4 linked regions of the Schizosaccharomyces pombe genome follow. Changing the gene in region 1 together with any one later gene gives a genetic interaction. Each region holds a gene or a part of one and is shown on either strand. Other genes may lie near its edges.

Evidence for each region.
Region 2: mutations in toe4 (region 1) and set8 together harm fitness less than expected from each alone (positive genetic interaction), as found in Schizosaccharomyces pombe (one large-scale study listed by BioGRID).
Region 3: mutations in toe4 (region 1) and ppk29 together harm fitness less than expected from each alone (positive genetic interaction), as found in Schizosaccharomyces pombe (one large-scale study listed by BioGRID).
Region 4: mutations in toe4 (region 1) and dep1 together harm fitness more than expected from each alone (negative genetic interaction), as found in Schizosaccharomyces pombe (one large-scale study listed by BioGRID).

Annotation. Positions count from the first base shown.
Region 1 is NC_003424.3:115,518-122,248, forward strand, and holds toe4 (transcription factor), read right to left. Parts: upstream 4,717-6,731; 5' UTR 4,592-4,716; coding exon 2,678-4,591; 3' UTR 2,544-2,677; coding exon of another isoform or gene 1,176-2,543; 3' UTR 537-1,175; downstream 1-536. Other genes in the region: mfs2 (MFS family membrane transporter), read left to right, coding at 1-203; SPOM_SPAC11D3.06 (MatE family transporter), read left to right, coding at 1,176-2,543; SPOM_SPAC11D3.08C (amino-acid permease), read right to left, coding at 5,039-6,691.
Region 2 is NC_003424.3:2,081,383-2,085,442, reverse strand, and holds set8 (lysine methyltransferase Set8), read right to left. Parts: upstream 2,015-4,060; 5' UTR 1,925-2,014; coding exon 635-1,924; 3' UTR 502-634; downstream 1-501. Other genes in the region: pex13 (peroxin 13), read right to left, coding at 1-195; AAA family ATPase Elf1, read left to right, coding at 2,996-4,060.
Region 3 is NC_003423.3:2,489,796-2,495,719, reverse strand, and holds ppk29 (Ark1/Prk1 family protein kinase Ppk29), read right to left. Parts: upstream 3,875-5,924; 5' UTR 3,798-3,874; exon of another isoform or gene 3,760-3,797; 5' UTR 3,673-3,759; coding exon 3,573-3,672; intron 3,501-3,572; coding exon 3,367-3,500; intron 3,328-3,366; coding exon 943-3,327; 3' UTR 502-942; downstream 1-501. Other genes in the region: SPOM_SPBC557.05 (arrestin, meiosis specific), read right to left, coding at 1-496; pim1 (RCC1 family Ran GEF), read left to right, coding at 4,892-5,497, 5,673-5,924.
Region 4 is NC_003423.3:3,798,646-3,802,946, forward strand, and holds dep1 (Rpd3L histone deacetylase complex subunit, Sds3-like family protein Dep1), read right to left. Parts: upstream 2,505-4,301; 5' UTR 2,362-2,504; coding exon 886-2,361; 3' UTR 540-885; downstream 1-539. Other genes in the region: vps1301 (lipid transfer protein), read right to left, coding at 37-58; cqd1 (ABC1 kinase family protein ), read left to right, coding at 3,552-4,184, 4,240-4,301. UniProt on the Schizosaccharomyces pombe protein: Component of the RPD3C(L) histone deacetylase complex (HDAC) responsible for the deacetylation of lysine residues on the N-terminal part of the core histones (H2A, H2B, H3 and H4).

The sequences.
Region 1 (6,731 bases):
CTTTAGCTGCAGCTACTCTAGTTCGCTATTCTGCCAGTGGAGGCATAAGTATGGTGGCCAGGCCTATGTACCTTAATTTAGGAGATCACTGGGCTACTAGTGTGCTTGGTTTTATTTCTGTAGCGATGGTTCCCATTCCTTTTATATTTTATCGTTTTGGCAAGAGCATTCGTGCGTGGAGCAAAAACGCTTACAAATTGTAAGAACAAGTGTGATTATTTGTTGTTGTTGTGTTTATTTAATGTTGATTATAATTGTCATATCATGCATATATCTATATAGTAAGAGAGTGATTGCAAGCAAAGATGAATTTTGGTGCTTATTCTATTTAAAGAACGAATGGATGTTTATAAACTAATTTAGAAAGTTTTAATAAAAACGTAAAGATTTAAAGTTATTTCGTGTTGCATTCTAAAAGTCACAGCAATCTAAATATAAACTTTTGAAAAGCAAAATTAACCGAGAATGATATATGCGTACGCCAAACAACTGGATTCATACTTATACACAGTTATTTGGGAAATTACAAATCGTTTTTTCTGTAATGTTTGTTCAAATCATTATTGACTAATAAATTCACCAAGCTATTTTCTGCTATATATTTTACCACCATCGGTAAGTGTTATAATTATTAACAGTCAATGAGTATGCAAGGTAAAATTACAAAATATTTTTTGTACTCTTTATTCGCTTTCATGCTCAAATTTTTGTACTAATTTCAACAAATTAAGAATAACGTGCGAGTCAATAGCTTCTTAGTCTGCAACCGATTTGTTACCTACTATTTTTAACCAGCGGAGTGAGACGGTAATAATATTTTCACCGGCAAAATATGCTAACTGCTATCATTTAAGTTAGCAAAAACTCGGCGAGAATTCCCAATGTCTGTTGGCTAAGCGAAAAATATTTTGCGTGGGTATTTCTAAATTTCCGTATCTCCACGGATATACTAATGTTTAGCCATGACATCTGAAGTTTTATGCCCTAAATGTGCGGCTTCTAAGCGTTCTCTGATATAAATTTATGGTTCCATCCGTTCAATCAATATGATAAAAGCTTAGTAAACTTTTATTAAAGGAAAATTTGAACCTTCGGTGAACAGACATTAAGAAGTACTCTTTATTTATATTAAAAAATACACCGTATATCCAAATTTTCTCTGAGAAAGCACTATTATGGGTAGACCACTTACAGAGGTGAAATACCTTTTGATAAATTCAGCTCCGGTAATCCTTGGATATGCCTTGCAAAACTCTTTGCAAACTAGTTCAGTTATTGTAACCGGGCGCCTTGGACCAAGCGAGCTTTCCGTAGCTGCTTTTGCGTACATGTTTGCGATGAGCACAGGCTGGCTGATTGCTCTAGGTGGAACTACTGCTTTTGACACACTTGGCTCCAACCTTTGGGGAGCCGGAAAAAAACAAGAATTGGGAATTCTATTGCAAACGGGTTTCATCGTGCTCAGTATTCTATATCTGCCAATATGTTTAGTTTGGTGGTATTCTAAACCCATCCTAATTTTCTTGCATCAAACACCTGAATTAGCTGAAGCTTCACAAAAGTTTTTACGATACCTTATCCCAGGCGGACTAGGTTATGTATGTTTTGAATTGCTAAAAAAGTTTTTGCAAACACAAGAAATCACTAGGGCTGGTTCTTATATTCTTCTAGTTACCTCTCCTCTTAATGTCGCCTTAAATTTTCTACTTGTCCATTATTATGGATTAGGTTTAAAAGGCGCTCCATTGGCAACTGGATTATCGTACTGGCTTTCATTCATTTTATTAACTCAATATGCGAAATACGTAAAAGGGGCAGAGGCGTGGAATGGTTGGAATAAACGATGCTTAGAGAACTTTGGACCTTTTGTAAAGTTATCACTATTGGGTATCGTTATGGTGGGAACAGAATGGTGGGCTTTTGAAATAGTAGCACTAGTTGCTGGTAAACTTGGTGCTGTACCACTTGCCGCTCAATCAGTAATTATGACCACAGATCAATTACTTAACACAATTCCTTTCGGTCTCGGAATAATTACTTCTAATCGAGTTGCCTACTATCTCGGAGCTGGGTTACCTGACAATGCTTCTCTAACTGCTAAGGTCGCAGCAATTGTAGGTGTTGCAGTAGGAAGCGTTATCATGATTACCATGATTGCCGTACGCAATATCTATGGACGGATTTTCACAAATGATCCAGATGTCATTCAGCTGGTTGCTCTTGTAATGCCCTTAGTAGCTGCTTTCCAAATATCAGATTCCTTGAATGGTACAATGGGAGGAGCTTTAAGAGGCACGGGAAGACAGAAGGTTGGCGCTATAGTTAACATTACTGCCTACTATTTGTTTGCTCTGCCTCTAGGAATTTATTTAGCCTTCCATGGCAAAGGTCTTGTCGGTCTTTGGATTGGACAGGTAATAGCGTTATCCATAGTCGGAATTTTAGAACTGAAAATTGTAATGGCAACTGACTGGATTTCCCAATCAAGAAAGGCAATCTCAAGATTTGGTGACTCCTCTGAATTGACTGCACTACTCAATTAGACATTTGGGTCGATGCATGTAGTTGATCAAGCAAAATAGTTTGATAATAGCTTCATTGTTAACCGGTAATGATGTTCACCATGTACATTAAAGCAAATAAATTATTAATAAAACAACGTTACTTTCATATTTTTTTAAAGATTCCTCATAACATTGGTTACTCTGTCAAAATCCCAACTGTTTAAGTCGTTAAGTTCAAAACCTTCAACGATATCTTTAAAAGTAGAATCCGTAACATCATTATTTTTGGCACTGCAAACTTCTTTAGCAACCCGCAAAAGTTTGTCTGCAATTTTGACAAGTTCCAAAGCCACGTCACTAACTGGCTCCATTTCCATAAAAAAATCGTAAATTACATGTAAAAGATCCAAATCGTTAAGTAATGTTTCTGAGTCCGTTTCCGTATCAGTTTCGTGAACAAGGTTATTAAATATTATTAAAAAAGGTGTAAAAGGACAGTATAGGAATATCCATAGCGGATCTGCTTTAACATTGACCCTGAGATCAATGTTGAGTCTATTTTTTAACAATTGAACTGCTTCACGGGCTGCATTAATACAAATCCTTCGATTCTCTGTCGACGAGCTAGGTCTGTGTAATATAATTAAAGTGTTTAAGTAAGAAAAGTAAACTTCCATACCTGCGAAAGTTAAAAATTCGAACCGATCGCTAAGCGATATAGTGGGAGAAAAAGTGTTGTTTAGCAACATTTCATGATACATTTTTATTTCAGAAGGAAGGTTTTCTTCCCACGCTTTCAATTTTTGATGTATTGGTATGATGATTTTTTCTCTCGCTGCCATTTGCGTAGGTGACTTCACGCTGTATAGTCGATTTCGTATTTCACTCTGAATTATTGTCAACGATACGGTAGGAACAAATATCAAATCACCACCAGATTGTACACCAAACAAAAGCTCATATTTGCTATCAGGCAAATTACAATCAATATCCTTGTCGTTAAAAACGGAAGGGGTTCCAAAAATCAAAGAAATATTTTTATCGAGAATATAACACATCCAAAATATCCTTTTCCACGATTCAGCCTTTTCAGGCTCCACATCAGTGGATTGCTTTCTATGTAAGTTTAATTGTTGGGCCATGAGGCAGGCTTGGCCGCACAAAGTCCGACATAAAGAAGAGCTAGACAGGTAAGCTGCGTACTGTGTCATGACAATTAAAGCCTGAACTTTGTCAATGCTCGGAGTAAGAAAAAAGTCGGACTTTTGAACAAAAACCCAAGCTGTTGAAAACAAAGACTCTGCAAGCGTCTTTGAGTTACCAAGTCTTTTCCTAATGCTGCTTAATGCTAAAATAGAATAAAAAGAAATTAGCCAAGCATTATTGCTATGGAACCCGAACGCATAAAGACGTTCGAACTCATACATAAAATCATTATATACGAAGGTAGGCCACCACCAATTTACATGCTGAAAGTAAGACGTGACTAACTCATGGGCTACTTCCTTCTTGGGAATGTCATGGAATGCCTTCTCCCAGTCCGGCAACTGTGGAGGGAACAAGCTTTCCACATTCAGTATCCGAGTAGGTGTATTGTCGACAGGGCTACCTTGTCTGTGTTTAATAACAATCGATTCTGCATCTTTAATTTGTGTAACCAAGGAAGGTAATTCAATAGCCTTATTTTCACGTTTAAATTCTGAAGTTTCAGTAGCTATATCTAACAACAAATCGATTTTTTCTTCAAGCAATTTAAGGCGTCTCTGAACGGATTCTTCACCATCCTCGGGTTTTTCAATGTTTTTACTAATAGTTCCATTAGTAGTTAATGCAAAATTTTCTTGATTTGGAATTGAGTGATCACTCGGTTCTGGCTCATTGCCGTTAATACCAGCGGCATAATCAAACACGGGTAACGTAATTCCCCCAAACGTCTCCTTGCTTCTTTGAACAAGTCTCTTACGGCGAGCACGATTAGAATAATGACAGTCCGCTTGAAAAAGAGTACAAGTCTGACATCTTGGTTGCCCTCGACTACATTTAATCTTCTTCAACCTGCAAAGATCACATGCTTTATTTTGAGACATCTTATGTTAAGAAAAGAGTAATTAAACAACTATCTTAAATTCTAGCTGAATGCGTATCAATTGTAAGCAAGCATTACCGCCTTTGGTGCAGTTTACTGTTAAAAAGCATATACATCTGCAGATTTATTTTAGCACTACTCAAGTCGTGCTTAAGTATAGGTTATAAGGGAAGTGATGATAAGAAAATCTGGACAAGACGATAAGTATACGTACTCGAAAGATAAAAAAAATTTTATATAATCTTATATTACTGATAATGATAACAGAGCCACTAATTCATTAAAAGACATTAAAACAATATTAAGCTATTTAACTAAGACTAGGAACAAAAGAATAAAAAAGAACTGTTAATAAACATACAATTATAAAAGCACAGTAAAAATACAATGAAACAGCGTAGCTGTTGCCAAAAAGAAGAGTTAAGAAAAGTATAACACTCAGGTTAAATTACTCTGTGATTTGCTTCTGGTCAAAATCTTTTGGCAAAGGTAAACTGCTTAAAGATAGTTCATTTAGTGGAACACCAGATATGTACTCGTTCTCCTGTTGAACAGTAGGTATTGGACCTGTAAAAAAAGTTTTACCACCAATCTTTGGCAAATAATAATACACCACGCAAAAGACCATTACAAATCCAAGGACCACTATAGCCCAATTCATCTCATCTTGGTTGGGCTTTTGATATTGAGGAAACAAAAGCATAAGAATCATAAACCACATCCAAACTAATGACCATAAGGCTGCTGGTTTGCTCCATTTTCCAACGTAGAAAACACCAGGTTGAAATTTATTGTACACAAATCGACACATAAGAGGGCCGGAATAAGCGATATAAAGAGCAATAATTGCTAAATTAAACACAGAAGAAATGGCAGTGACATTAACCAAAATTAGTAGACCGACTAAAAGGCTATAGAGTAGCACTAAAAGAATTGCATTTAAGGGAACTTTCTGTTTAGTCAAAAGACGTAAGTATCTACTTCCTGGAATCCCGCCGTCTCTGCAGAAAGCAAATACTTCTCTAGATGCAGCAATCAGTAACGAAATGCAGTTCAAACAAAGGGCAATGACCAGCAAAGAGAAAATTCCTAAAGCTCCCTTATTTCCAACATTGTTAACCAGTACTTGAGCTACAGGCTGGCCTAAAGAGGAACCTAGAATGGCATTAAAATCGTGACCCATAGTAGCTACAACGGTGATAACGATGCACCATCCAAGAATGGTAGCCACACCAAGACTGGAAATCATAGCAAAGGGAGCTGCTTTGGCAGCATTCGTTGATTCTTCAGCAACAGCGGCGCTAGATTCGAATCCGCTTACAACCCACACAGGAGTAGTGAATGAAAGTATAAATGCCCATCCCATGTTTGACCATCCAGAATAATTTGTAAAATCACCGAATATAAAACTTCCAGAATTTCTAGTAGTAGAGTCAGATCCTGCGGCAAGGGCAATAATAAGAATAATGGATACAAGGAATTGGAAGGTAATATTAATGATGTTCACCTTCGCGATAACACGAGAGGGAATTGCAGTCATGGCAGAAATCACGAAAAGCAACGCTGCGTAAATTCCGTACTGTTCATATTTTGTAGGTGAATAAGAAGGACTACCTATCACAGCTAGTGCCTGTACCATAGATGATGCAGAGTACACTGTTGAAGCATAAATCGTAGCGTAGCCAAGCACTGACACGTAACCACAAACCCAGCAGAGAAATGCTCTTGACGATGGTGATGCTAGGGTAAAAATCCAAAAATAAAGACCTCCAGAAGTAGGCATAGAAGACGCCAGTTCGCCCAATGATATACTTACTGGAATCAGACATATACATCCAATAATCCATGACCAAACCATGCCTCCTCCTCCACAGTTCATCGAGAAAATGAGTGAACCCGCCATAGCCGGACAAAGACCCATTGATCCAAACGATTGACCAAAAATGCTAACGTAAGAGAATTCTCTAGTGAATTCTGGTTTGTAACCAAGGCTCATCAGAAGCTCATCATCTTGATTAGCTTCTCTGCTTTCGCCCAACTCAACTTCATTTTCCCATTGCTTCTGATTTTGTTTTAAGCTTTCTTTGTCGATGTCACTCATTGTAAATGCTGAATGTGAGTCGTCCTTACAAGCAGAAAAC
Region 2 (4,060 bases), 2.0 Mb from region 1:
GGAAGGAATGAAGGAGTTAAAACCCGAGTATGGATTGAATCCCATATTGTAGTAGTTAGGATTAACAATCCGATTTGCCAAGGGATGCTGAGTAACGCCTTGATTCGTATCAGCATTTGAGTTGCTTACAGACATAATTCCTCCAGCAGGATAAGAAGGTAGACTTGGTCCTTTTTCATTTTGATTTGTTTCCATAGTTAAATCTCAATAAGCTAGATGCGTCCTTGGCAAATATTCTAATAAATCAAAAAGTTGTAGGATGAGTCCTTCGTAAATACGCTGCACGAGCTATTAAATAGGAACTAGGTCGCTTTATGTCAAAGTTGTCGGTGTGGTAGAATACATAGTCCGAAATAGTATTAATGGTAGTCCAATCTGAATACTAACGCCTTAGAATACAGGAAACTGGTATCAATACTACAATTGAAAATTTCCTAATATTTAATAGCATAATCAAAATAGATACTTATTTTTTTCACAATTACTGATTAATTTATTTGGTATGGATATATTACGGATATTATATTATTATACACGATTAGTCATTCCAAATTAAGAGATTTGTAGAGTATTCATCACATACTAAATATTTTCTTTTTTTTTTTAAATAAATAACTTTTTATGCATGGTCGATTCATGACTCAATGGTCTGGCTATGGATGAATTCCACCACAACTTTGGACTTAAGGAGCTTTGAAATAACGTCTCTAAGATATAAAAGGACTTTCTTAAGTAAGAAACTTTCACGCTTTAAAAGCTCTACCGATTCTGAACGTCGTTCGGTTGGATTGTACATATTCTCAATGTTTGTATTTAGGGCAGCATCCGCTAATTGTTCAGCGAGACAAAAAACACGTAAAATATACAAATCTCTTTTAGGAGATAATTGTACAAGCTTTGGCAAATCTTCAACTGAGCATTTTTGACCTTCAAATTCCCAGTCAACTGTTTGAGCTTTTGATTCATCACACACCATTTTGAAGTTTGTAAAGTCTTCAACATTAAGTACAGAAAAAAAAAGAAATGGAGCATGCCACCATAATTCCCCAGATGAATCAGAAACAAATTCAATCATGGGGGGAGTTTTACAAGATCTCCTTTTAGCAAGATCAAGCGAGTCATTAGAATCCTCGGGAATCAAGAGTTTCATAACATTTGTAATCCGATCGCCCTCAGGTTCAGGTAAAAAACCATAAGAAAATAAAAACTCAGCAGAACCTTTTTCACTTCCATAGTTTATCGTAACTTCTTCATTTTCATCAATGTCCTTGTCAAGATAGAGCTGCATAGCATCTTCCGAAAATGACCATTTTGCATTAGACTTAGAGGAGTGATTACATAAATCAATCACAGGAGCTAAAACTGGATCTTTAAAGGGACTTTCAAGGCACCTACTGTGAAACAAAGCATCAGCATGAACCCATTTTGGGAGTGTTATTTTACTAGGCCAGGAATCAGAATACCGCTGGTTTAATGAAAGCCACTCTTGTTGTAAAATTTTTCTCTTGACACAAACTGGATTAAAAATCGAAGTGCCTTGGAGGCTGTAGACTTCTTTTTCGGGCCATTGTGCAGGCGTATTGATAGATAAAGGAAGAACCGTTAAAAACTTATCCCACTTGTTGGTTCGGGGTTGAATACCGAGCCATAAATAGCAAAGAAATAACATAGCCTGAGTTCTGAAACTCATATCGTTCCATTCCTCAAGCGTTGCGATTGAAGCGAATTTATCACAAGAATTTCGAAATTGTTCAACTGTTTTGCGGCATATTATATTTTCAAGTGGAACCTCTAAAAGAACAGTTCCAGAAGTATACCTATTCAAAGAAAAAATTCCATTGCCTTTCTTTCGTATTTTTTTTATAGTAATTTGTTTTGCTCCCGGCGCAAATTGGTTGACCAACTCATTGTATTTGATATCCATTGACTTGATTTTCTCAGTCTTAAGCCAAAACAACGACGGAAAACTTAACAATAAAATGTATTTAATCGAGTTGAAATTTATTGGTTGTTTATTAATAACTCCACGACTTTTCTAAGTCAATAGCAACGAAAATACCCTGTCCCTAGAGAAACAACCGAAGCGACATTAACTTTCGGTAACTCGAACCCAACCCTATATGAACAAAAATACGACGCTTGCATCACAAACGGCAGCCGATTTTTGTACTATAAGTAATTTATGATTTTATTATATCTAGTGGTCATTAGCCTAATACGATTGTCGGTTTAGTTGAAAAATAATATAAAATATTGGAACCTCAAAATAAATAAGTAGTATGTGACAGCTTAAATTATGTATTATTAATATACTAGTAACCTGAGCAGAACAGAGGAAAAATATATTGGCAAAATTATGTGAATCTACATGAAATCTGTTAACTATTGAAATCAATTTATTTCTCCAATTTTTCGTTTTATGGTTAAAATTAATATAAGGACGCAGACTAATATTTTAACAGAGTAGTAGTAAAAAATCCCTATAGAGCTTTTTTGGTTGGTTTATATAGAAACAAGCTTTCTAAAAAGTTATCAAATCATTGTATCTTCTTGCTGATTAAGTACAATACCCTACGGTAGTACCTGGTACCTAATAGGTCTACACTGTCAAATTCATCAGATCCGATGGGCCCACTATAGCAGAGTTTCACGAACTAATTGGATTAATATCTCTATTTACTAATTCATCAAATGCAGGTGGTCCGTTCAGTAAATCTTTTTTGACAGAATATTGAGGATATATTATTTACTTTTAACATCTGTACTAAATAGCGAACTAAAGTAATTATATTATAATAAGCTATAGCGATACTGAGACTGTACTATTTGTCAATAGTCGGCGTTTAAGGAACTGTAAGGCAAATTATAAATTTGCGAGCGGTTAAAATTTAGTATATGAAAGGGATTCTCACAATATCAATAGTTGTCCTCCACCAAGCTACATTGCAAGGCCTAATCGGGTTAATTGTGGGATTTGGAACGGCATTGCAGAGAAATGACATCCTCTGTGTTAATTCAGGGTTACGAAGAGGACGATGTCCTCAAATTATTGCAGGAATTGTTGGATGCTGAAACTTCTCAAAGCTGTGCTGATGTAGGTAAAAAAATTGCCCAGCTTTTTTCAAATGACAACCCTTTAGTCACTTTGAAGACTACGGGGTTTTTGGATGGCTTGGAACGTGCAGCTCGCAATAAGAAGTCGGGATTCCATCGTGAAGCTGCCATGATTGGTTTTGCTACTGTTATTAAAAATTTGGGTACGCCTTCCGAAGTTGTATTCCTTCCTTATCTTCCTACTATTTTGGATTCGTTCTCGGATCGTGGTGAAGTAGTTAGACAAGCCGCCAAAATGGCCGCCCAAGCCCTCTTGGATTGTCTTCCTGCAGGAGCCGTAGAAACGCGCTTAATTCCAAGCTTGATTTCTTACTTAGACGATTCATCTATCAAATGGCCTAGTAAAGTGGCTGCTTTGCAATTACTGGGCTCTCTTGCATCATCATCCCCCAAGGCTGTTGCTGATTACATGGCCGCTCTCATTCCTTGTATTAAAGAACGAATGCATGATACGAAACCGGAAATTTCTCGTGCCGCTATTACATGCATGTTGAACTTATGTTCCGTCGTTGAAAACAACGACATTATTCCTCATATACCAAAGCTCGTCGATTGTATGGCTCATCCGGAAACACTGGAAGCTTGTATTAAAGATTTAAGCGCTACAACATTTGTAGCTACAGTTGAATCAGTTGCTTTAGCTGTGCTCGTTCCTATCTTAAAGCGAGCATTAGCTCAGAGATCACAGTCTATGCTGCGGTTGACTGTCATTATTACTGACAACTTATGTAAACTGGTTCCTGATCCTGCCGAGGCATCTGATTTTCTTCCTGAGTTAATTCCGGACGTTGAGCGTATTGCTCAAACTGCTGCTATGCCTGAAGTTCGTGCCCTTGCTTCTCATGCACTTACTACTCTAAACAAGGCTGCAGCTGCTCAGGCTGCAAAGGCTGCAAACAATTCTGAGAAACAGGCGTTAGATAGCGCTTGTAAAGAATTACGTGAG
Region 3 (5,924 bases), on another chromosome or scaffold:
CCTTTACCCTTGAATGGATTTGTCGGCCAGGTCCTACTTCGACGTGTTTAGGAAAATTGACTTGAAATGGAATGTCAACTGTTGAATGATTGGGAATACTGATTATCCGGTTTTTCCCCCTTTTTTTAGCATAATCTAAGAGTTCTTCTGGTACAATGTATTGCCCTTCCATGATGTGAGTTCCTAAACACAGGAAGACTGTTGACGAATGAAACTTGTGTTTACATATTCCAATTATAAAGACTTCGATACTGATCAGCTGAATTTCGTTTACTTTTGACTTATTAGTTAGTGTTAGCAGCCCGTCTATTCCTGCTTTTCGGTGGAAAATTGGTGCATCAAAATCCAAAGTAAGATTGACATCTTTAGTTTCCATTTGCGGGTTGGCAATTAAATCAAATATAATTTCTTTACCAGCATAACTAGTATTAATACATGTAATTACTGGTTCTTTACTAAATCGAAAGAAGCGCTTTCCTTTCTTCCACAAATCCATGTTATCTAGTTGGGTATTTGTTTGTTTACTTGTTCTGATTATTTAACCACGATTGGAATAACGAGCTTTGACAACATAAAACTCTGCGCTGAAAATAAATAATAACTTGTCAATAACTAAAGCTTTTACAATAATCCAAAAAATGGAATTTATATTGAAAAACTGATATTAGAATTTTGGCTACTATGTATCCGAGTTATGTATAGGGAACTCCAATTCCTGGAGAACTAGTGAACAACGATAGATACAGAGAATAACATGAGTAAAAATTCCAAAGACTTGAAGCACAGGCCGTGACATCAAGCGGTACATATCAAAAAATCATCCATCTAAAACTCTTCAAAGGCAACACCGAATTTGCATGAAGGATTTATATATATAATAAGGAAATAAATCATTGCAAAAAAATATAATTAGTTTAAAGTCGGTAAAGTCTGGTTGATAACTCAAATATTAACGTTCTTTTCTGCATTCGAATTGGGTTCCTCGTAATCAACAATTCCCGGATATTTTTGCTCAAATAACGTGTCGTTTAATTCCTCTGGAAAATTTGCAGGTCTATCACTTACGCTTCTGGAGGTTTCTGCACTTTGAATAGAAGCTACAGGCCTCAAATCGTTATTAAAAGACGTCTCTTGAATTTCTGTGTCTGTTAAATCTGGATTATGGAAACTTGAACTTGAGCGGTTAGCATAACTTCGTACACGCTCTCTTAATTCACTTTCACCTTCCAATCCTTCGTCAACATACTTGCTTGGAGAAAATTTAAAGTACGGATTTTTGTCATGAAAAGAAGGACGCTTCTTGTCAAGACTTGCCCGCTCACTATGTAAACTCACGGTTCTTTGTAAACCATTAAAAGTTCCAAAGTCGTCAACATCGGAGGCAATAGTGTTGGCAACAGAAGACGCGGTCGAAGTAGGATAAAGAATAGAGTTGGTTGAATCGGCAACAACGTCAGAAGCATTAATATCAGTACTAAGGTTTGACATATCTTGGGGTTCGATATTTGTCAAAGGATTGGCAGACTGTTGTGTGCGTTGAACGATATAGTCACCTCTAGTATTAGATGTTGTACGATAGAGCATAGTAGGACTGGAGGGGAGCCCCTCTTTAGATGTGTTTCTGGAAGTTTTGTTCGAATCTTTATGAGAAGGTGAATAATATTTGGAAAATGATTTGGCATGTCTAAGAGAATTATTAGAACCAAAATTAGTATTACTCAAATCATCAAGGTTAAAGGAGTGTTGCTCATAAGCCATAGAACGCGCATTGGGGCTCGAAGGTCCAGTAATTTTAACAGACGACCTAGAAGTGCTTGAAGGTCGTCTAGATACTGGACGATCAGGGAAATCAAAAGAAGACCTTACGCTACCAACCCCTTCCGAAAAATTTGTATCAAAGGCAGATATATCCTGAGTACCAGTGGTATGAGTACTATTTGCGGTTGAAGTACCAGCTGTCTGACGGAAACTAGCGAATGCATCATCAGCCAATTTTGCTATCTCTTGTTCCCTAGGGTTATGATGAGAACTAGTCGTAATATTAGTATGACTAGTAAGCTGTGACTCCAACTCATTTAGATCAGGATAACGCTGGTTAACAACTTCCTCAACGTCAACGTTATCGGCATCGAGTCCGGCGTTTGGTGAACCATTATCTTCTGTAACCTCGCTAGCAGAAAATTTTGAAGATGTTCCCGTGACTCCCTGAGATATTGGGAAGGGATTCTTACTTTGAGGTGTGTAGACTTTGCGACCACTAGCTCCTGAGCCAGTTACAGAACTTGATGAAACAACCTTCGGAGACGAAACACTCTGTCTGTTCACATCTTGAGTGTTGTTAAATGTTGCGGATTGGCTGTGGATAGAAGGATGTGCACTAGCTTGAGAAGTGCCAGAGAAAGTAGGTTGCAAAAATGGATTAGGGGAAACGGTTGGTACAGTCGGCACATTTGGTACGTTATAGATAGGAGCTGGCATAGGAGGAGGAGGGGGAGGTCTTGAGCCCTGAACCTGTGGAGTCGGCATGACTTGGTTTCCAGCAAACGGTGTTGTTGTTGTTTGTCGAAGCAAAGACATTATTTTCCGGTTATGCAAATCATAAAAAGACGACTCTCTTCCACTGTATATATCCCTAAAAGGTAAAGCCGTCCCTCTAAGACGACATATCTCACACATCAACTGAAAAATATTTGGACGAAGACAAGGATTCGGCTGAAGTAAAGCGATGATGACATTTTTAAGAGAATGTGAATAAGGAGGAAATGGGGGGAAGGAATATGAAGCTGTTAATATAGCGTTAGGACCTTGTGTTTCAAAAGGAGTTGTATAGTAACAGAGTTTGTATAACAAGACTCCTAAAGCCCACATGTCACTTTTCTCATCAATTCCTAAGCCTGAATACAAATTAATCATCTCAGGGGCACGATATTGGTAGGTAGTAAATGTGTTGATACTTTTTTCTAATGCTTGAATTTCGCTAGAGTTTTCAGCAGCATGCATTGGCTCAGTCACACTTCCAAAATCGCACAATTTAAAAGTATTAAAGCTTAGCAAAACATTTTCTACTTTCAGATCGCGATGAATGAGAGGAGGTCTCAGATAGTGTAAGGAAGCAACACCCTGTACAATATCTGAAATAATTTTTAAGACTTCATGCTCTGACAACCGAGTTTGTAACCTTTGATTCATAAAATCTATCAATCCACCCCCAGCGCAGTATTCCATCAAAAGCAGGATTTCAAATCCAGTGTTGACACCCGCTTTCTCGAGAGGAAATATGCAGGAGTCGATATACGAAACCACGTGGGGATTGGATTTGAGTAGTTCCTAATAAGTTAGACAAAAAAATCAATAACGTTAACATACCATCGTTTCGATTTCAGTTTTCACGAAACGCAGGGCATTCTCGTCTGGAGAATACATGCGTTTCAAAACAGCAGTTATCGGTGATCCATCAGTTTTGGAATTTGTTTGAACAAGATATACATGAGAAAAGCCGCCTAATGAAAAATGTTAGTAAAATAAATCTTTCATTGTAATACTCCTCGATCCATCCAACCCAAAAATTATACCTTCGGCTATGTACTTTTCGATAGTAACATTGTATTTTCCAATTACAAACTTGGATCCTGCTAGAAGCTTTTCGCCCGTGAGAAAGGATGCAACAGACATCCTAGAGAGGTTTTTTGTTCAATACTGGCTGAAGTCGCGAGGTTATTGTTTACACTCTCGCAATTCAATGGGACAGCATCCGAAGCCCTATCTACGTTAGTTGTAAATTTATTATAATAACTTACTCTTTGAAAAGGCTGTATTTACACAGTTTTGATCAAGATGAGCAAGGGATGCCAATTCTGCTGTTGGCAAGGTACTGAGCCAGTCACCAAACACCACAAGTCCCTTCTATAGGGTTAACCTTTGAGCCATTACCGATAGATAAAACCGCCCCCCACAAGACAACTTGCCGTATTTTGAAAATTTCAACTACAACTTTTAATAATTTGAGCTGATTAAGAAGAGAAATTAATTTTACAGTATACTCAAGTTCACAGGCAAACTTGTAGAATCAAGTTGAGTAACATCGTTACCCAAATTTATGACATGGCAAATTCACAGACATATAAATCCAGAAAAGAATAAAGAAAACAGAAACTGCTAACGACTATGTTCATTGTAACTAAATATTAAATCATGAGGGAAAAAAGTATATGGTCCTCATAAAAATAATTTATGAAGAGATTAAAATCGCGTTGCTTGAGTTCGTATTCTCGCATACGATCTTGCTGAACGATGGACACTCCGAGTCTTACTGTAACTTCTTATGACTAATGAGCTTTTTTTTTAAATTTGATCTTTGTTTAGCTATACATGAAACCGCTTTCTCAGATAAGAAGAGGTCTCAAATTTTCAACATTCGACGTGATTAAACGAATTTATATAAATCAAATGAAGTTAAAAAAAAAGAAAGGATTTCATAAAAATTCGTAGCTCACCTTACACACATTTGAACAAATACAAGCTGGGAACTTTTACTGAAGTCAATAACTTATTTTGCTAAACGAAGCTTATGTTGTAATTAACGAATGCTTAATTACAAGCTGCACATAACAACGATTCGCAGTATACTGAATAGTGAGAATCCGTATACAGAACGACTTGTTCGAGTTTTGAAAACAACGTCTCTGCGAAAACAAAAACGACATAAATCGTTGTTTTTTGTCTTTTGTAATATTTTAAACCCAAGCTATAGTAAGTGGTACCAAAAAGTAAATGTAATTCTTGGATTTGCGTCTGGTGATGGTTGCATGGAATACGCGATGACATCTTGTTCTTTTTTAAATTACAAATCGATTGTTAGTAGCAAAGCTAACCCTTCCAGCTAAAACTCATAATGACTTCTAATAGAAGTACTAGAAGCTCAACTAAAAGAGAGGAGGTCTCAAAAAATGGGGTTGAAAAAAGAGAATTAGATGAATCAGATGTGATGAAAAATGGCAAAAAGCCGGTTAAACGTGCAAAGGTCAGCTCTCTACCCAAACCCGTTCGTGTCCCAGGAAGCGCAAAGCGAATTAATAAGATACCTGAACTACCTACGGAACGATTGAACGTTTACGTCTTTGGAAGCGGTTCCATGAACGAGCTAGGTATGGGCGAAGAAGAAATGGATGTCGTTTATCGTCCTCGTTTGAATCCTATTTTATCTACAGATAAAGTAGGAGTAGTCGATTTGGCTGTTGGCGGCATGCATTCTGCAGCCCTTTCTCATGACGGTCGCGTATACACCTGGGGAGTTAATGATGACTATGCCCTTGGTCGTCTTACTAAGGATCAAAAGGATGAGAATGGAGACAAAGTTGACAATGATTTACTAGAGGGAACTCCTTCTAAGGTCGAAGGTGCTTTATCTCATCTACGCGTTACAAAAGTTATATGTAGCGACAATCTCACTGCAGCAATAACGGACAATGGCTGCTGCTTTACTTGGGGTACTTTCCGTGTAAGTAATTTGTTTTGGCCGTGAAAAATTATCATTTGATCTTTGATTCCAAATTCAGGTGCTGTTATCGTTGCAGTGTTGTTTATAGTCTATTGACTCATTGTATCATTTCCCTTCGCCCTTTTGGAACAAATGGCTTTATAAATTTATCATTTTTCGTTTGCTAACATACTAGTGTTCCGATGGTGTATTAGGGTATAGCGATTCTCAAAAACGTACAGCTGAACCGACGCAGATGCGACTTCCCGAAATTTGTCAATTAGCTACAGGGACGGACCATATTATTGCCTTGACTACCACAGGAAAAGTATATACATGGGGTAATGGTCAACAGTTTCAACTGGGTAGACGTATGTTAGAACGTCGTCGACTTCAAGGCTTGACTCCTCAACCGTTAGCTTTAAAAAATATTATTTCAGTTGGAGCA
Region 4 (4,301 bases), on another chromosome or scaffold:
ATATCAATGTCTTTCAAAAAAAGGTATAATTCATACCGGCAACTAGGCCTTCTAACATGTTTGTTGGCTCTTTGACACTGAAATTAGGTAAAAGGCAGTTGGCATCCGACTTGGTGAAAGTTAGCAATGCAATTGCGAATAGAGGAATGTTTTGTTGAAAAAGAAAATCTTTTTATTCCATTTATACATTTAACAAAATTATTCAATATAAAAAGAAAACGATTATGAGAAGAGGAAACTTCATTTCCGTATAACGCACCTTTTTATCATCAAACGGATTGAGTCTAAGTGAAAGGAGTATTACTTTACTTATTTGAACAAACTAAATCTTTTTTTTTTATTAAATCAGTTAAATTAAAATCCTTCAAATGTACATAGGACTTGTTTACGGCGCTAAGTGCCACACCATTGAATGCGTCAACAAGTCAGCTTTATCGAACGATAAGTAGGATACTTTGCTTAACTAGTTTTGATTGCGAAGCACATGATTATTATCAAATTTAAACATACTTAATTGTTCATAAGCAAATTTATTATAAGGCAAAATGAGTAAGACGGATAGCTGTTACAAACTTAAAGAATCGCTGTAAAATTAATTCATTAGTTAAGTCAGAAACAAATACTGAATTAAAAATATTAACCGAATATGTAAATTCTAAAGAAAATGAAACAAACGAAGAGCGAATGTGTTATATTATCGCTTAGAAAAAAAAAAAAAAAAAAAGAAAATACATTAGAATAGATAACGAAAGGCAAGAGTTTTAACTAGGCTCTGAAAAAAAAAAAACACTCTTGACACCGTACCAAAAAGGAAATTGTGTGTCAAAATTGAAGTAAAACGTGAAGGAAATTAGGAATTATCGCGGGGAATGAGGATGCTTGAAATTAGTCTTGATTTTCACTGAGGCATCCCATTTCTAAAAGGTCGTTGCGGATGTCATCAAAAGAAGCTGTTTCGATAATAGGTGCTGTCGGAAACCCAGCAAAACTATTAAGCTCACACAAAACTGCAGCTTCATATTCAATTCGTTGCTTCTGTAACAAGGCACTTTGGCGATATGACATGGTTTTTTGAGTAATATATGTGGGATCGTGAACAGATTTTTGTTTGTTTAAAAGCTGAAAGCACTTCGTTGCAATTTTGGTTAGAAGCGCTTGTCGTATTCTTCTTTTATCAAACAGTAACTGATACTTCCTCTGTTTCGTTACATAGTCCATTACGTTTTTTATATTCCCAAGTTGTTTCATGAGGTTTTCAGTAGCTAAACGCACACGATCATCTCGCCGCTCTGTTATAAGATCAATGCAGGCATTAAAACGCTCATGGGTTTCGTTTTGTATCATTTCCTCATGCTCGTTCAGCTTTAACAGTTTCTTCCCATATAAACGGTTTCGTAAAAAAGTAAACTCCGTTTCTATATTTAGCAAAGCATCAAACGCTTCTTTCCGTTTTATAGCCTTTTCATCGTCAGCTTCATGAGCCTGTTCAGATGCGGAACGACGATCTGCAATCTCACGATCGGATTCCTCTTGGCTGGTCTCAAGAGCTACCCTTTTTATTTTGCTCTCACTGTTAGTAGACCATTTTCGAGAAACTGTTGCACGTTTACGCTTTCGACTTCCAACGCCACTTCGAGGACCACCTTTTCTGGGTGCTTCTAAAGTTCCACCTCTTTGTGGTATCTGGTGGTCAGAATCTTCGGTTCTTTCAATATTCGACTCTTCGTCTTCTTCCTCCTCATGCTCAGAAGACTCCTCAAGTTTCGAGTTGTGGTTAGTCTCTATGAGTCCATTGTTGTCATTGGTAGCTTTTTCTTCAGACTCAAAGTCAGATTCCTTCAATGAAGGACTAACAATGGTTATATTTGCTGTGTTTTCCATCTGAGGTTCCACAGAGTTGTTTACCAGTATGGTTCTGCCAATTGCACTTGAGTCACCTAAGTCCTCAGTGACTGATACCGAACCAACTAAAGATGTTTCTTTCTCTTCATCTTCATTTAAGACTACAGTTTCTGCCTCAGATACATTATCATGATCTGTTACCTCTAATTTAGGAAGTGACGCTAACTGATGAGTTGTGAGGGACGTGGAACTGTTCAGTTTGTTCACTGGCGAGTTTTTTTCAATGATTTCAGAATTTTGAGAAGGCAATTGAGGTGCGATAATATCCTCATTAGCATTGGTCTCTGGATTAGATAGAGCCGAATCAACAACCTGCTCACTTTCAGCGATCGAATTATTTATTCGTTTCTCTGAATCTTTATTTTTAGGAGAGCTTTTTAAGTTGTTCATTGGTAAATCAAAAGGCTCCTTAGGGAGTATTTCATGGGGAATTGATTCCGACTGCAAATTTTCGGTCATCCTGAATTAATTCTTCAACTTCGTTCAAAATACCCTCTCGTAATTTACAAATGTCAGAATCTAAAAAACAGTATCGTTGATTTTCGTGTGTTTTCATTCAATATGTATGTTTTCGAATGAATTGGTAGTGTTGGGGAGAGGATGACATTTGATAGCTGGGCATCAGTAATAATATTCATACTCAACTTTTACACATCCTGTAGGGACATCTCAAAATTTTGAGCCAAGAACTTAATAATTTGTTCTAAATTAGCACTTCCAATTTATACTTTTATCAAGAATGGGTTAGGTGAAATATTCTCAGTCAACTGTTACTCATCAATGAAACTTGGCGAATGAACCATCGTCGATCAAAGGCTTTTTATTAAATCAATCAAAGAGTCTCTATAGATAAACTCTATGCTAGTCTCTGAGTTAACGGCAATTGAAGTAATGATGGTAAAGCTTTTTAATTCAGTACAAACAATTCCATTTTAATTTCAATTTATACTTTATTTTATCAACTGCTAGCGATTTTACAATTATCTCTCTTTGGCAGCAGAATACTACCATGAACTGATTATTTAACTTATTTGAATATTACCGATTATAGGTGTATAAGGAAAAAAAATGTGATTCCTATAATCAGTCATTTTTTATATTTTAATAATCTTCCCTTCAATTAGAACTTTGAAATTTTGATAAATTACATTTTATTGGTAATAATGAATAAAAAAATGTTTCTTCACGTACTAGATGATCATATCCAGTTTATCATACTGTAAGTTCAATTCTATAGAATCCAAATAGGAACTGAGCATTAATTAGTCAATATTTTATTTATAAAATGAAAGAATTGATTATTATTACAGTCTTCATTTTGGCTAACAATTATTATTTTTCTTTCTCCCAGTCACAAGTAGACAGCGTCATTCGACGTTGACACCAATAGACACTAGTGACACGTAAATTTGAGCAATATTTTTGAACTGGTGCATTCTTTATTTTCAAGATATTAAAGGTTGACAGGGTTTCCTAAATTCTTTGAAACACCTCTTTTAGTAGCTGCTATACACATTTATTGAACAATTCCTATTTTCTTTATCAGGTTTGCCAGTGTTTTCAATCGAAAATACCCATTGTAATTAGTTTATTTATTTTTTTGATTCTTGATAAGGAAATGCTCTTCTGAAAGTCAATAATTGGTGAACATGATTAGTTTTTCTCACTGGAATTCTCACATACGTTCGGGACTTAGTCTAAGCATGATTCCTTCTGCAAACTCTCGTTTTGCTTTCATTATTCAAAGAAATTATATTCCTGTCGTTAACTCGCAGAACACAAGATGGAAAAGGTTATGCGGGACACAGTCAGTTTGGTCACCATACAAAAAAAAGCACGTACTGGTTAATCGATTGAAGCATATATCTTTATTCCCCAAACCTATATTTGCAAGAAAGTTTACAACCCGACAAAAAAGTGAAGACCAGAAGCAATGGAGGATACTAAGGATTACATTTCTTGTCCTCCCTTTTACGGTCGGAGGATTATGGATTTTATACAGAGTCAAAAATCGAAAGAATAATATTTTCTCCTTTGACGAACTTGAATTAGAAGAGAGAAGCAATCGACCTCGTTCTATTTTTGGAAAAATAAAACAATTTTTTAATATTCTCCTCAGGTCATTTAATTTATTTATTATTTTCTCTCCAATTATTATTACCTTACCGTTTATCGCTCTTATTTCTTTCCTGCATCTTCGATCTTTGTCGTCTTTAACCGTATCCATTTGGCTTCGTTTCCTCGTTACTCAATTAGAAAGAGCAGGAGCAACGTTTATCAAGGTACGTTTTGAATTTACGCTTATCATGTTACTAACATTATTTTTTTATTTTGCAGTTGGGACAATGGGCTGCTTCACGGACAGATTTGTTTCCTCCTGCTTTCTGTAAAACACTGTC